Linked DNA regions of Callithrix jacchus. The main gene of each other region encodes a partner of the protein of the gene in region 2 in a complex. Links are inferred from orthologs where the notes say so. Each region holds a gene or a part of one and is shown on either strand. Other genes may lie near its edges.

Region 1 (6,212 bases), on a different chromosome or scaffold from region 2:
TCCTGCCTCAGGCAACCATGATGTTAAGCAATCATCTCTAATAATTGACTATTTGCCCTCATGAGCTCAGAGTCAGATCAAAAAGAAACAGCTTCTTAAGCGAGGATTTTCAGGGAATCACCAGACAGGTCAAATAATGACAATTCTCTGGGAATGGGCCTTTGATCCAACCCCATTCTCTCCCCTCCAGAGGCTAGTGGGATGATGGTTTTCACTGATTGTCGAATGTTGGTTTGCAAGGTCACTACAGAGCTGGAAAAGGGAAAAAGAATAGGGCAAGTTAAAACACCACAGAACTCACTGGTCCTGAGATTCACCCATTTTTCTTGCTGGATTGCTGCAAGACTTTGATTAATTTTCACAGTTCTCAAAAGGCTAATTCTGACAATTTCTGCCAGCACTCTCATTGCTTTTATGTAGAAGAAGATTTTTGGAGGTTCTTTCTCCATAATTTTTTTTCCCAATGTCATTAGAGGTTAATACATGTAAAGCATTTACAACAATATCTGGCACATAGGGTTACATGTACGTGCCATTATTACTGTTGTTAATTGAGAAGCCACATATGAACTCACTTCCTCCCTCTAGAGAAGAGTGGTCCCAGGGAACACAAGAAGGGCAGATAGGGAAAGAGAAAGATGTCCATTTGCACAGAAAAGAGAGGGAAAAAGGCAGGAACATACTTTGGAAGATTACTGGGGGAAAGGTAGTGCTCCGTGTCACAAGCGTGGGAGGTATGGTTCATGGCTGGTTAGGCTAAGAAGTCAAAGAGGTAGATCCTGGTCAGGCTCAAGCTCAAGCAATGCCTGTTGGCTCCAGTGACTAGCATTGGTTCCAGTGACTAGCATTGGTTCCAGTGACTGCGATTGGTCCAGTCACCTCTCACCAGCATGCTGCCCCCCTGTGATTGGTCCAGTCATCTCTCACCAGCCTGTTGGCCCCCTATGATTGGTCCACTCACCTCTAACTAGCCTGTTGGTCCCTTGTGATTGGTCCAATCGCCTCTTGCCAGCCTGTTGCCCCCTGTGATTGGTCCACTAACGTCTCCCCAGCCTGTCACCCCCTGTGATTGGTCCAGTCACCTCTCACCAGCCTGTCTCTTCCTTGTGTGGACTCTGTTCACTGCCCAGCCCTCTTCTCTGACTTTAAAAGTCAGATGGTTCCAGAGATGGGTGAACAGGACTGTAACAGCACGTCCCCATGTGTGGTCCCTGTAGAAGCTACCTCGCCCTGCCCTGCCCTGCCCCACCCAGGGGAGTAGGCTGGAGGCTGTGCCTGTTTATGGGTGTGCTTCGCAGTGGTCAAGGGACATGGGCATCCCAGCTATGCAATACCCTGCCAGCACATGCTCACACCTGTCACCCTCAAGCACTGGGACTTGGTGTTTCTACAACAGCTGGGTACTTACGAGTCTTCTGGGCACCCAGTTGGGGTAAGCAAGGGAGGGGATCTCTGGAGCAAGCAGGAGGGAAGGAAGAGGGAGCAGAGACATGGGAGGATGGGGTCTGGGCTCTCTGACCCACAAACAGACTGCAAGATCTTTGGGGACTCAGCCTTAGTGTCCTTGAAGGACAGGTTTCAAGGAACATCCAGTCTGATAAAAGACGGAATAATCCTGAAAGCCAGGTGGGACATCACACTGACATCACCCTGCTCCACTGCCACCATGGATGGGTGTCCCTCAGCCTGGGAAGGGATCTTATGTTGTTGAGAGTCAGTCCCATATTTTATAGAGGAAGAAGCTGAGGCTGAGTTGAGCTTTGTCCTCCCTGGAGAGTCATTTGGAGCGTGGTAGGCAATGGTGATGATTCCTGGCCGCCTGGTCTCCATGTAGCCCTCTTTCCTCTAAAGAAGTGCTGTATTTGCTAAGAATCCAGAGGCCTCTGCATTTGCAGAATAGAGGTTAGCCACACAAATACCAGGTACTCCTGAAAAAGAGCTTACCTTCGACATGTGGTTTGGTCACATGGTAGGAAATTGAGGAATATGCTTAAATGACAGGATGAGGAAAATGCTTTGACATGGTCTTTTAAAATGCTGATAGGGTCTGAGCTAAGAGAGGAGGCACAGAGGACTGAAGTCCTGACAAAAGTGGGGGTGGAGGCTGGGCACGGCGGCTCATGCCTAATCCCAGCACTGTGGGAGGCCGAGGTGGGCGGATTGCTTGCAGTCAGGAGTTCAAGACCAGCCTGGCCAACATGGCAAAACCCCGTCTCTACTAAAAATACAAAAGTTAGATGGGTATGGTGGCGCATGCCTGCAATCCCAGCTACTGGGGAAGCTGAGGCAGGAGACTAGCTTGATCCCAGGAGGCAGAAGTTGCAGTGAGCCGAGATTGCACCATCGTACTCCAGCACAGGGAACAGAGTGCAACTCTGTCTCAAGAAAAGGTAGGGGGCAGGCGGCTCACCCACAGCCATGTCCTGCTTCATAGACATTCAACCTGTGCAGCTGCCCTAGGCCCAGGGCCCTCAAGGGTCCATGCTTGGTTTCATGCCTCGCTGTCACTGCCTTGAAATCCTCGGTAATTTGGAGCAGGGAACCCTGCACTTTCATTCAGCACAGGACCCTGCAAATTCACCTGTCCAGTCTACTCTCCTGCCTTAAGTCCAGGAACGAACCTGCCAGCCTGATAGGTTCCACGAGTCTGAGCACACAGAGCCACTCAGCCTGTCTTGGCAGGGAGGGAGTGATCAGGTGGGGCCCAGAAGCCCCCGGGCTGGTAGAGCCACAGTCCCTTTCTTGAGCCTGCTCAGATGTCTGCTCTGGACAAAAAGCCCCAAGGTCCAGCCAGACAGAAATAGCTGGGACAAACGCCCTCGTCTTACAACCCAGCTCCGGCCACCAGCACAGCACATGCGAGTCGGATCTTCTTCCCTGGGCAGAAAGGGCTGGGCGGCTGCCCTGTTCTAGGCAGAGAAACCTGCCTTGCTTCGTGTGGGTAACTTTGTTGGGGAAAGATGGGAAAGGGCAGGAAGTGGGGATTGGGAGGGATGCTGGGTACATTACCCCCGGGCAGGGTGATGGGCCCGCACATCTTGCTGTCGTCCATGGGGATGCGCTTGGTACAGATCCGCCAGAGGCCGAAGTGGGCCGCCTCGCAGGTGGTGTTGTGGTGCTCCAGGTGGGGGCTCAGCACAGCCCAGTGGTCGGTTACCACGGCTGTTGTGGCCAGCACGATGCCCGCCAGGATGCAGAAGAGGGTCACACGGACCTTCAGCGTTTTGGTCTGGGACATGGTGGTCGCCGAGGCGTGGGTGCCCTGGGCAGGGTCCGGCGGCTGTGTCTCCTAGGGCAGGTGACAGCCGAGCTGGGGGGTGGCAGTGGCTGTCAAGCTGGGAGTGGCCACTAAGTTTAGTGTGGCCTGGCTGAGCCAGAGTGGGCTGGGCTTGGGGCTGAGGGACGCTGGACATGCTGAGCAGCTGTCCAGACGAATCAGGGGCCTGAGGGAGGCTGCTATTAATGACCGTCTCCAGGCGTGGCACCGAGGACAGCTTCTGCTCAGGTTTCAGGGGTTTCTTCCTTTGGGAGCCAGAAGTACCCTGGTAGGGGGGCAAGGAGAGAAGGCTCTGGGTGGTGGATTGAGGCCTCTGTGGAGTAGCAGCTCAAGGTGTCTGAGTTGGGAGGGGGTGGGCAGCAGGGGCTGGGGGTGGGGACCTGCCTGCTCTGGGCTGCTGGGAAAGGGCATCCCAGGGCAGGGGAGGAGACCAGAGCTGCAGGCTGCCTGGCTCTCCCGGGCTCCCACAGGGCAAGTCTGTCACCAGCAGGGCAGTGAGTAGGTCCTCATCCTGGGATCTGGGGAGACTAGGACTGTTTAGGGACATCCCAGGGAACCCGTCCAGGGCCTCTGGAGTCCACCTCTTGGGGAGTGTTTTAGCCACAAAATCCATGGCCTCCCCCAAACCGTGGGAAGATTATTGGTGTTTCCCAGGCCTGGCCTTTCCCGACTCTGACCCCTTCATGAGAACATCACTTCCTTCTCAATTCTCTTTCCATACCCGGAACTGGGTCCAGAGCAAAGCTGCATTTGGGGTCAGTGTCTGTACTGCCCACAGAGTGTCCTCCGAAACCAAGAGAGAATGGCCTGAAGAGGACAAGGAATCTCGTTGGACTTGGTCGTTCTGTTTTCAGGGTACTGTGTTTGGTTTTGCCTCTATTAACAGCAGGTGATAATGATTTTTATTTAATTTGAACACACTTATTTAATTTGCAAAATAAGGGTGTGAGTAAAAAAGAACAAATAGGTTGATTTACGGGGGATAATTAGGAGGCTCGTGAGTGCTTAGATATGGCAGAGAACACAGAAAGCCTGGAACTGAGCGCCCTCCCAGGGTCCTGTGTGCCTGGCTGCCCTGCAGGGATCCCCAAGGCTCTGGCCCCTACATCCCTCCAGGTTGTGCCAGGTTGTGCCATCTCTTCTTTCTCAGCTTACCGGGTAGCCCTTTTTGGGTCTAGCCGAGAGGCTGATGCATGACCAGGAATAGCTTCCTAAGCTGGGTGGGGCCTTGAGCTTCAAAATCCTGGCCTCAGATTGACACGGTTTACAGAGACTCTCCCCATGTGGACAGAAACGTTCCAGCCTCCAGCCTTGGAATCACAGAAAGTTCACGATGATGATAATAGTAGCAACGGCTCGTCTTCAGCGAGGGCTTCCTGTCGACTAGGCGCTCTGCTAAGCCTTCCTCCAGCATCACAGTTATTCTCCACACCAATCCACAAGGGAGCTACGACTCTTACTGCATTTCACAGATAAGGACACAGAAGCTCAGAGACATGATGCCACTTTTCCAAGATCACACAGCAGGAAAATGAGGAAGCCAGGTTTCAGAACCCAGAACCCAAAGTCTTAACCCATGGTTTGAACTGGGAAGAAGCTTCAAGATCTATTGTGACAGATTAGGAATCTGCAGCCCAGAGAGGAGATGTGGCAAGCCAGGGTGAACAGCCCCAGGGATGAGCGGAACCCTCATGTCTCCAGCCACTGGCATGTGGTTATGGCAGTTCCACCCAAACTTTCATATTTTAAAAATCAGTTTCGCGTCCAGATTACGATCTCCCGAAAACTTCTCTCCCCACTGCTCTCATCTCTGCCCGCTTCCTCCCTGCCCCCCACCTCTCTGTTCCCAGTGGGCGCTAATCCATCACAACTGACTGATGGCTGACTGGCTGTTGACACCTGCCACCGCCCCTGCCTCAGCTCGTGGAGGAGCTGCCTGTCTCCAGGTGGGTGGACTGTCTCCATGGGGAACTCCCAGGAGCTGGGACATGGCCACAGCCTCTCAGCCCTCTCACACTGCTTGTGGGGTCCCAGCTTCAGGACCCTGGTACCTGAGGACCTCAGGGGGTGCTGGACAGCTTGAGCAGAACTACTGAGTGCCAGGCACCCCAGCAAAGCAGTAGTCAGGGAGCCAAAAAAAGGTTCCAGTGTTTTAAGACAAAATATCTAGAAAGAAGCTATTTAATTTTAGCATTACAAGTAAATACAGTGTCATTTGGAGAATAAAAGTGTCTTTTGAATTTCCTGGTGTGGTGGTGGCGGGGTGGGGGGTGCCCTAAGCTCTTCCGTGCCAAGAGCCTCTGAGGCTCTTGAAAAGCAGCCTGAGGGGGCTCAGCCCATGGGGTGCACCAGCGCCAGCCATGGAGACATTGCAGGCCCATCAGAGACGCCAAGCCTTGGCAGGGGCAGCCACTGACAACCTCTGCTGCTCTTTCCCTCGGTGGGGGACAGGTTCGTGCTCCATGCAGGGGTCCAGAGTCCTCCACCCCAGTGCAGTGAAAGCATGAAAGATTGATGGCCTCTTCCTTTTGAAGTCATCTTTGTGTAAATCGCACCACGAGGCCGGCAGCTGCAGCTGCTGCAGGCAAGTCCACGTTCTCTTCCCTGTTTACTGAAAGCTCCTTCAAAGACGCCTTTTCTGCTCACAGAGGCATTGCCGGGCTGCCTGCCTGGTCCCCCAAGGGCCTGGCAGGGCCAGGAAGGGACTTCAGTAGTCACAGGCATTTGCTGGGAGTTGAGCAGGGCAACATCCATGTCCTCACCCTTTCCAGGGCAACAGGAAGGGGCGCATCTCATGGGGCAGCATGTGAGAGGGAGACCAAGCTAGCAGGTGATGGAGCCAGCCAGCCCCAAGCAAATCCCTGCACTGCTTGTCTGCAGCTGTGCAGCGTCCAGCAAGCCATTAGTGTTTCTAAACCACCCTTTGTGAAATGAG
Region 2 (6,164 bases):
CACATTTTTCTTATCTGCCTGTCCTTTCTTCCGTTCCTTGTTTGCCATGATCACCCCAGTGCGCAGGGTTTCAAACACAGGGTCATTGCGACTGGCAGCAGCTAATGGAATGGGAGGAGAAAGAAGACATTATTGGGGAGACAGAGAAAGATCTCTTAAGGAAGGGGTGGGATTGAGCAGATGTGTGTGGGAGTGGGGGTGCCACAGGGGAAGATTAGGGAAGGGTCTGCTGGGCAATACCTAGGTCACCAATCTATAAAGGGCTCTAAAAACATCACTGATAATGTGAGGGAGAAAAGTATTTATCAGAACTCCTTCCAGGCAGAGCATTATGTGACGTTGGAAAGAGAACTTTGGTTGCTTGGGGTTGAGACATGCTCAGAATCACTATTCTCCTTCTAAGCAGAATGGCCTCTTAACTGCTGACTTTTGCACTGCTGAATGGCATGTCTAAGCTGAGGAGCTACCACCAACAGGTTCTTCTTTTTCACCCATGCTCCTCAGAGTTAAGCCTCTCCTCCAAATAAATGTTGAGCAAATTGTCAATGAATATGCTTTTAAGGTTGCCAAATTATGAACCTGCCCAGGGTGTCCACAGCCTTTGGGCTTTGCCCCGAGTCTGGTATGACTCTGTAGTAAGGATGAGGACAGTCTAGAATCCTTGTTCTTGCTTAGAAATGATTTTGCACATGAAGAGCACAGATTTTGAAGCTAGCAACTGGAGATTCCAGTCTTGGCTCTACCGCTTGCTAACTGATGTAGCTGCAACTAAATCCTATCTCCCTCTGCTGTAAAATGGGGATATGGCCTCTGGATCCAAATAAATATAAAAATATTAGGTTGAGGGAGAATGATGGGAAATAGAAAGTTTCTGTTTCAGAATTTGGCTTCCAAAGCTAGAGATGGCATGACACTTATAGCAAGGAGCTGTTCACTTAAAAAAAAAAAAAAAAGAGATGGCATGAAACCATCTGTAGGCTTGCCCATTCCCTCATGTTCCATAAAGGGCACTTACAGAGATCTTTGACACAAGCATACTGCTGATTGCTGTAGAGTGGGGAACTATAGGCCCGACGGAAACCAGGTGGCTGTAGGGTGGAATAGGAGGAATCATTAGAGGTAGCAAGGTAGGCTAGAAGCCCATCTCTCTCATAAGTGGTCATCCTTTCTCAGAAAAAGAGATGGGCTAAGAAAGAAAAAGAGAAATGAATGGGATGGAGGAGGGACCAGCAAGGGGTAGCTGGTGATACGGCCCCACCTTTCTACACCTTGTTCCCCGGAGCCTACTCACGATCTTGCCAAAGCATCTCTGCATTTCCACATAGGACTGACAGTGTTCATGGATGTTGGTTTTGCAGTTCTTACAGCGAAGCCCAAACTTGTTATTGACTTGGGAGAGGGGGAGAAAATTCAGATAAGGTTCCAGGTTGCCCTTTCCCTTTGTACCACTGCTGCTACACTTAGGTTCCCTTTTCTGTCTAGGACCCTACTCTCACAATCTCTAATAGCACTGCCTTACAGCAACTCTAGCCGCAGCCCGTCTGCTACAAATACTCCTCTCCTATACCCTCTCCCCCAACCCCTGCCTTCAACATCATACTCTCTTCACTTCCCTTCATGACTCACGAACAATCATCCGGGCACAGACATCACAGAACTTTGGCTTCTTGAAGAAGTGATCTTTGAATTTGTGGGGCTTATCGTTGACAAGCTTAGGAGGTTCTGGGGGTGGCTCCTCCTCCTCCTCTTCTTCCTCCTCCTCTTCCTCATAGATGTAGTAGATGGGCCCACCCCCAGCTCCCACTGCCTCCCCATTGGCCTGGGGCTCTGGGGGAAGTTCCATGTCTTTTGTCCCTGTAGACCCCTTCCTGAGTAATTGCTTCAGCCGCTGTAGCTGAGGGAGGGAGTGAAGGAAACCCAGTGTTAAAAGGACTTGTCACCCTCTCTAGAGTACAGGGGCACTAGAGCAAACTAGACAGTTTTCTAGTTAGGGGTAAGGAATGTACCCTAGGATTAGGGGGGCTGCAGGTGGCCAGCAAAAAATGAGTCATACACAAATGTGATCAATTTAAGCACTCTTCAGCTATAATGGCTTCCCGCTCCCCACACCCAGTGGTCAGAGGCCCAGACTCACCCCACTTTGCCGAGTCTCTGCGGGGAAGGAGGGTTTAGGGGACTCCAGCACCTCCTTTTCTGTCATCCTGCAAGAGGTTGGACCCCACTATGAAATCTAATCCCTTTCATTCTTCTCTCTCTTATTTCTGTCCCTTGCAGTAGGGTGGTCCTCAAAGGGGAGGCTTTTGGAGAAATGTGGTTTCATATATATATATATATATATATTTTTTTTTTTTTTTTTTTTGCAATGAGGTCTCACTCTGTCACCCAGGTTGGAGTGCAGTGGTGTGATCACGGCTCACTGCAGTCTTGATCTCCCAGGCTGAAGCGATCCCCCTACCTCAGCTTCCTGAGTAGCTGGGACTACAAAGTGTATACTACCTGGCTACTTTTTTATTTTTTGTAGAAGCAGGGCCTTGCTTTGTTGCCTAGGCTGGTCCTGAACTAGCTCAAGCAGTTCTTCCATTTCAGCCTCCCAAAGGGTTGAGATTCCAGGCATGAGGCACTGCTCCAGGCCAAATACAAATCCTTTGGCAGTGTTTATTAACAGATAGATTTCATGGAGGTCTAGAAAAAAGCCCAACATGGCTGGGCGTGGTGGCTCACACCTGTAATCCCAGCACTTTGGGAGGCTGAGATGGGTGGATCACTAGGGGTCAGGAGTTTGAGACCAGCCTGGCCAACATGGTGAAACCCCATCTCTACTAAATATTAAAAAATGAGCCGAGTATGGTGGCAGACACCTGTAATCCCAGCTACTTGAGAGGTTGAGGAAGGAGAATTGCTTGAACCTGGGAGGCGAAGGTTGCAGTGAGCCAGGATTGCGCCACTGCACTCCAGCGTGGTTCTAGAGCAAGACTCTGTCTCAAAAAAAAAAAAAAAAAAAAAGAAAAACAAAAAAGCCCAACAAACGGAAGTCCCCAGTTAGTTCCTCAAACTGATACTTATCCTTCCATCCTGAGGGGTGACCCCAGAGTTTACAGCCCTTACACAGTGTTCACTGCTGAATGATTTACGTTATTTTCTTATAGGTACTTTGTTTCTCCTGGGAACCTGTGGGCAACAGGTATGTGATGCATACCTTCCCAGATCTCCTCTCTTCAAGAGGTTTAATGGGTGTCCTTGTGTGTGCACAAGGAAGGATGGACTGGAGATTTGTCCTCCCCTACTTCTTTCTTGAGCCCTGGGGGCACTGTGCCTAGTGCTGTCCCAGCCTGCTTCAGGGCTCAGCTATTTTAAGTTTTCAGGGTAATATGAGCCTTTCCTTCCCTTACTACTCCATTCCCTTCACCCCACCCCCACCCTTACCCCACCCTCCAATCCTAACTCATCCTAGAGTAGAATAATAATTTGACTCCTAAAACCCAGATGATTCACAACAAGGAGAGAAATGAAGAAGTTAAATAGATTACTGGCCAGGGCAGCTGGGGTGAGCAGCTGTGGAAATGGAAAGAGGATGAAGAGGTAACTTACGTTTGGGATTCCCTAAATCAGTCAGTCCACAGAATGTAGAGGAAGTTGGGAACCCCGAGGCCTTGATGGTGGTGCTGGGGAAAAACCAGTCCTCTTCCTTGGGGGCTAAGCCCCCCCAGTACCCTCTGTGTTCACACCAGCTACCCAGACGCTATTTGTAGACCTCCTAGCCTCTTGCGTTGGTGTCAGGGCTGAAATGACAGGGCTGGAGGAAAGTAGACAGCTGAGCAACACAGCTGACACAGAGAAATTGGACACTGAGAGGTCTGGGGCAGGGTTGGACCCTAACTCCTCCCATCCCCCAGAGCTGCTGTTCCTTGATTCTTTATCTTTGGCCAACAGGTTAATAACAGCTGAAATCAAGAAGGGACAGTTTCTGTTCATGCTCACTTAAGGGGAGTTTATTTTTATATTTCATTTATTTTTTGAGACAGGGTTAAAAAAAAAAAAAGACTAATGTGAACTCTCAGAGCTCTCCTATCAGCCACACTAGATTGCTTTTTTTTTTTTTTTTAAAGATGGAGTCTCACTCTTGTCGCCCAGGGGAGTGCAGTGAAGTGATCTGGCAGGTTCACTACAAACTTCACCTCCTGGGTTCAAGTGATTCTCCTGCCTCAGCCTTCCAAGTACCTGAGATTACAGGTGCCCACCACCATGCCTGGCTAATTCTTGTATTTTTAGTAGAGACAGGGTTTTACCATGTTGGCCAGGCTGGTCTTGAACCCCTGACCTCAGGTGATCCACCCGCCTCAGCATCCCAAAGTGCTGGGATTACAGGTGTGAGCCACCAAGCCCAGCTAGATTGCTTTTTTCTAAAAAAAATATATTTTATTGCATTTCAGGTTTTGGGGTACATGTGAAAAACATGCAAGATTGTTGCATAGGTACATACATGGCAATATGCTTTGCTGCCTTCCTCCCCAACACATATATCTGATGTTTCTCCCCATGTTATCCCTTCCCAACTCTCCACTGTCCCTCCCCTAGTTCCCCCCGACAGACCCCAGTGTCTGATGCTCCCCTCCCTGTGTCCATGTGTTCTCATTGTTCAACACCCACCTATGAGTGAGAACGTGCAGTGTTTGATTTTCTGTTCTTGTGTCAGTTTGCTGAGAAAGATGGTTTCCAGGTTCACCCATGTCCCTACAAAGGACACAAACTCATCGTTTATGGCTGCATAGTATTCCATGGTGTATATGTGCCACATTTTCCCTGTCCAGTCTACCATCGATGGGCATTTGGGTTGGTTCCAAGTCTTTGCTATTGTAAACAGTGCTGCCATGAACATTCGTGTGCATGTGTCCTTATAGTAGAATGATTTATAATCCTTTGGATATATACCCAGTAATGGGATTGCTGGGTCAAATGGAATTTCTATTTCCAGGTCCTTGAGGAATCACTACACTGTCTTCCAAAATGGTAGAACTAATTTACACTCCCACCAACAGTGTGAAAGTGTCCCTATTTCTCCACATCCTCTCCAGCATCTGTTGTCTCCAGATTTTTTAATGATCGCCATTCTAACTGGCATGAGATGGTATCTCAATGTAGTTTTGATTTGCATTTCTCTAATGATCAGTGATGATGAGCATTTTTTCATGTTTCTTGGCCTCATGTTATGTCTTCTTTTGTAAAGTGTCCATTCATATGCTTTGCCCACTTTTGAATGGGCTTGTTTTTCTCTTGTAAATCTGTTTTAATTCTTTGTAGATTCTGGATATTAGCCCTTTGTCAGATGGGTAGATTGCAAAGATTTTTTTCCCATTCTGTTGATTGCTGGTTCACTCTAATGATTGTTTCTTTTGCTGTGCAGAAGCTGTGGAGTTTAATTAGATCCCGTTTGTCTATTTCGACTTTTGTTGCCAATGCTTTTGATGTTTTAGTCATGAAGTCCTTGCCTATGCCTATGTCCTGAATGGTTTTGTCTAGGTTTTCTTCTAGAGTTTTTATGGTGTTAGGTCTTATGTTTAAGTCTTTAATCCATCTGGAGTTAATTTTAGTGTAAGGTGTCAGGAAGGGGTCCAGTTTCTGCTTTCTGCACATTGCTAGCCAGTTTTCCCAACAGCATTTATTAAACAGGGAATCCTTTCCCCATTGCTTTTGTCAGGTTTGTCAAAAATCAGATGGTTTTAAGTGTGTGGCATTACCTCCGAGGCCTCAGTTCTGTTCCATTGGTCTATATATCTGTTTTGTTACCAGTACCATGCTGTTTTGATTACTGTGGCCTTGTAGTATAGTTTGAAGTCAGGTAGTGTGATGCCTCCAGCTTTGTTCTTTTTGCTTAGAATTGACTTGGCTATACTAGATTGCTTTTTATCTGTCGGTGATTTGAGGAGTACTTTGCTATCCTGTAAGCAAGTGAAGAATATGGTTGGGTGTGGTGGCTCATGCCTGTAATCCCAGCACTTTGCAAGGCTGAGGTGGGCAGATCAGGAGTTCAAGACCAACCTGGCCATCATGGTGAAACCCCATCTCTACTAAAAGTACAATAATTAGCTTGGCATGGTGGTAGGCACCTGTAATCCCAGCTACTTGGGAAGCTGAGGCAGGACAATTGCTTAAACCCAGGAGGCAAA

The links.
Region 1: STAC3 (region 2) and CACNG1 share a complex: the UniProt entries of both Homo sapiens proteins name them as parts of the calcium channel complex. The link is inferred for Callithrix jacchus from reciprocal best matches to the Homo sapiens genes STAC3 and CACNG1.

Annotation. Positions count from the first base shown.
Region 1 is NC_133506.1:122,262,578-122,268,789, forward strand, and holds the start of CACNG1 (voltage-dependent calcium channel gamma-1 subunit), read right to left. Parts: upstream 3,344-6,212; 5' UTR 3,239-3,343; coding exon 3,010-3,238; intron 1-3,009. UniProt on the Homo sapiens protein: Regulatory subunit of the voltage-gated calcium channel that gives rise to L-type calcium currents in skeletal muscle. Regulates channel inactivation kinetics.
Region 2 is NC_133510.1:62,452,219-62,458,382, reverse strand, and holds the start of STAC3 (SH3 and cysteine-rich domain-containing protein 3), read right to left. Parts: upstream 3,782-6,164; 5' UTR 3,589-3,781; intron 2,202-3,588; 5' UTR 2,201-2,201; coding exon 2,135-2,200; intron 1,895-2,134; coding exon 1,627-1,894; intron 1,390-1,626; coding exon 1,292-1,389; intron 1,089-1,291; coding exon 1,016-1,088; intron 102-1,015; coding exon 4-101; intron 1-3. UniProt on the Homo sapiens protein: Required for normal excitation-contraction coupling in skeletal muscle and for normal muscle contraction in response to membrane depolarization. Required for normal Ca(2+) release from the sarcplasmic reticulum, which ultimately leads to muscle contraction.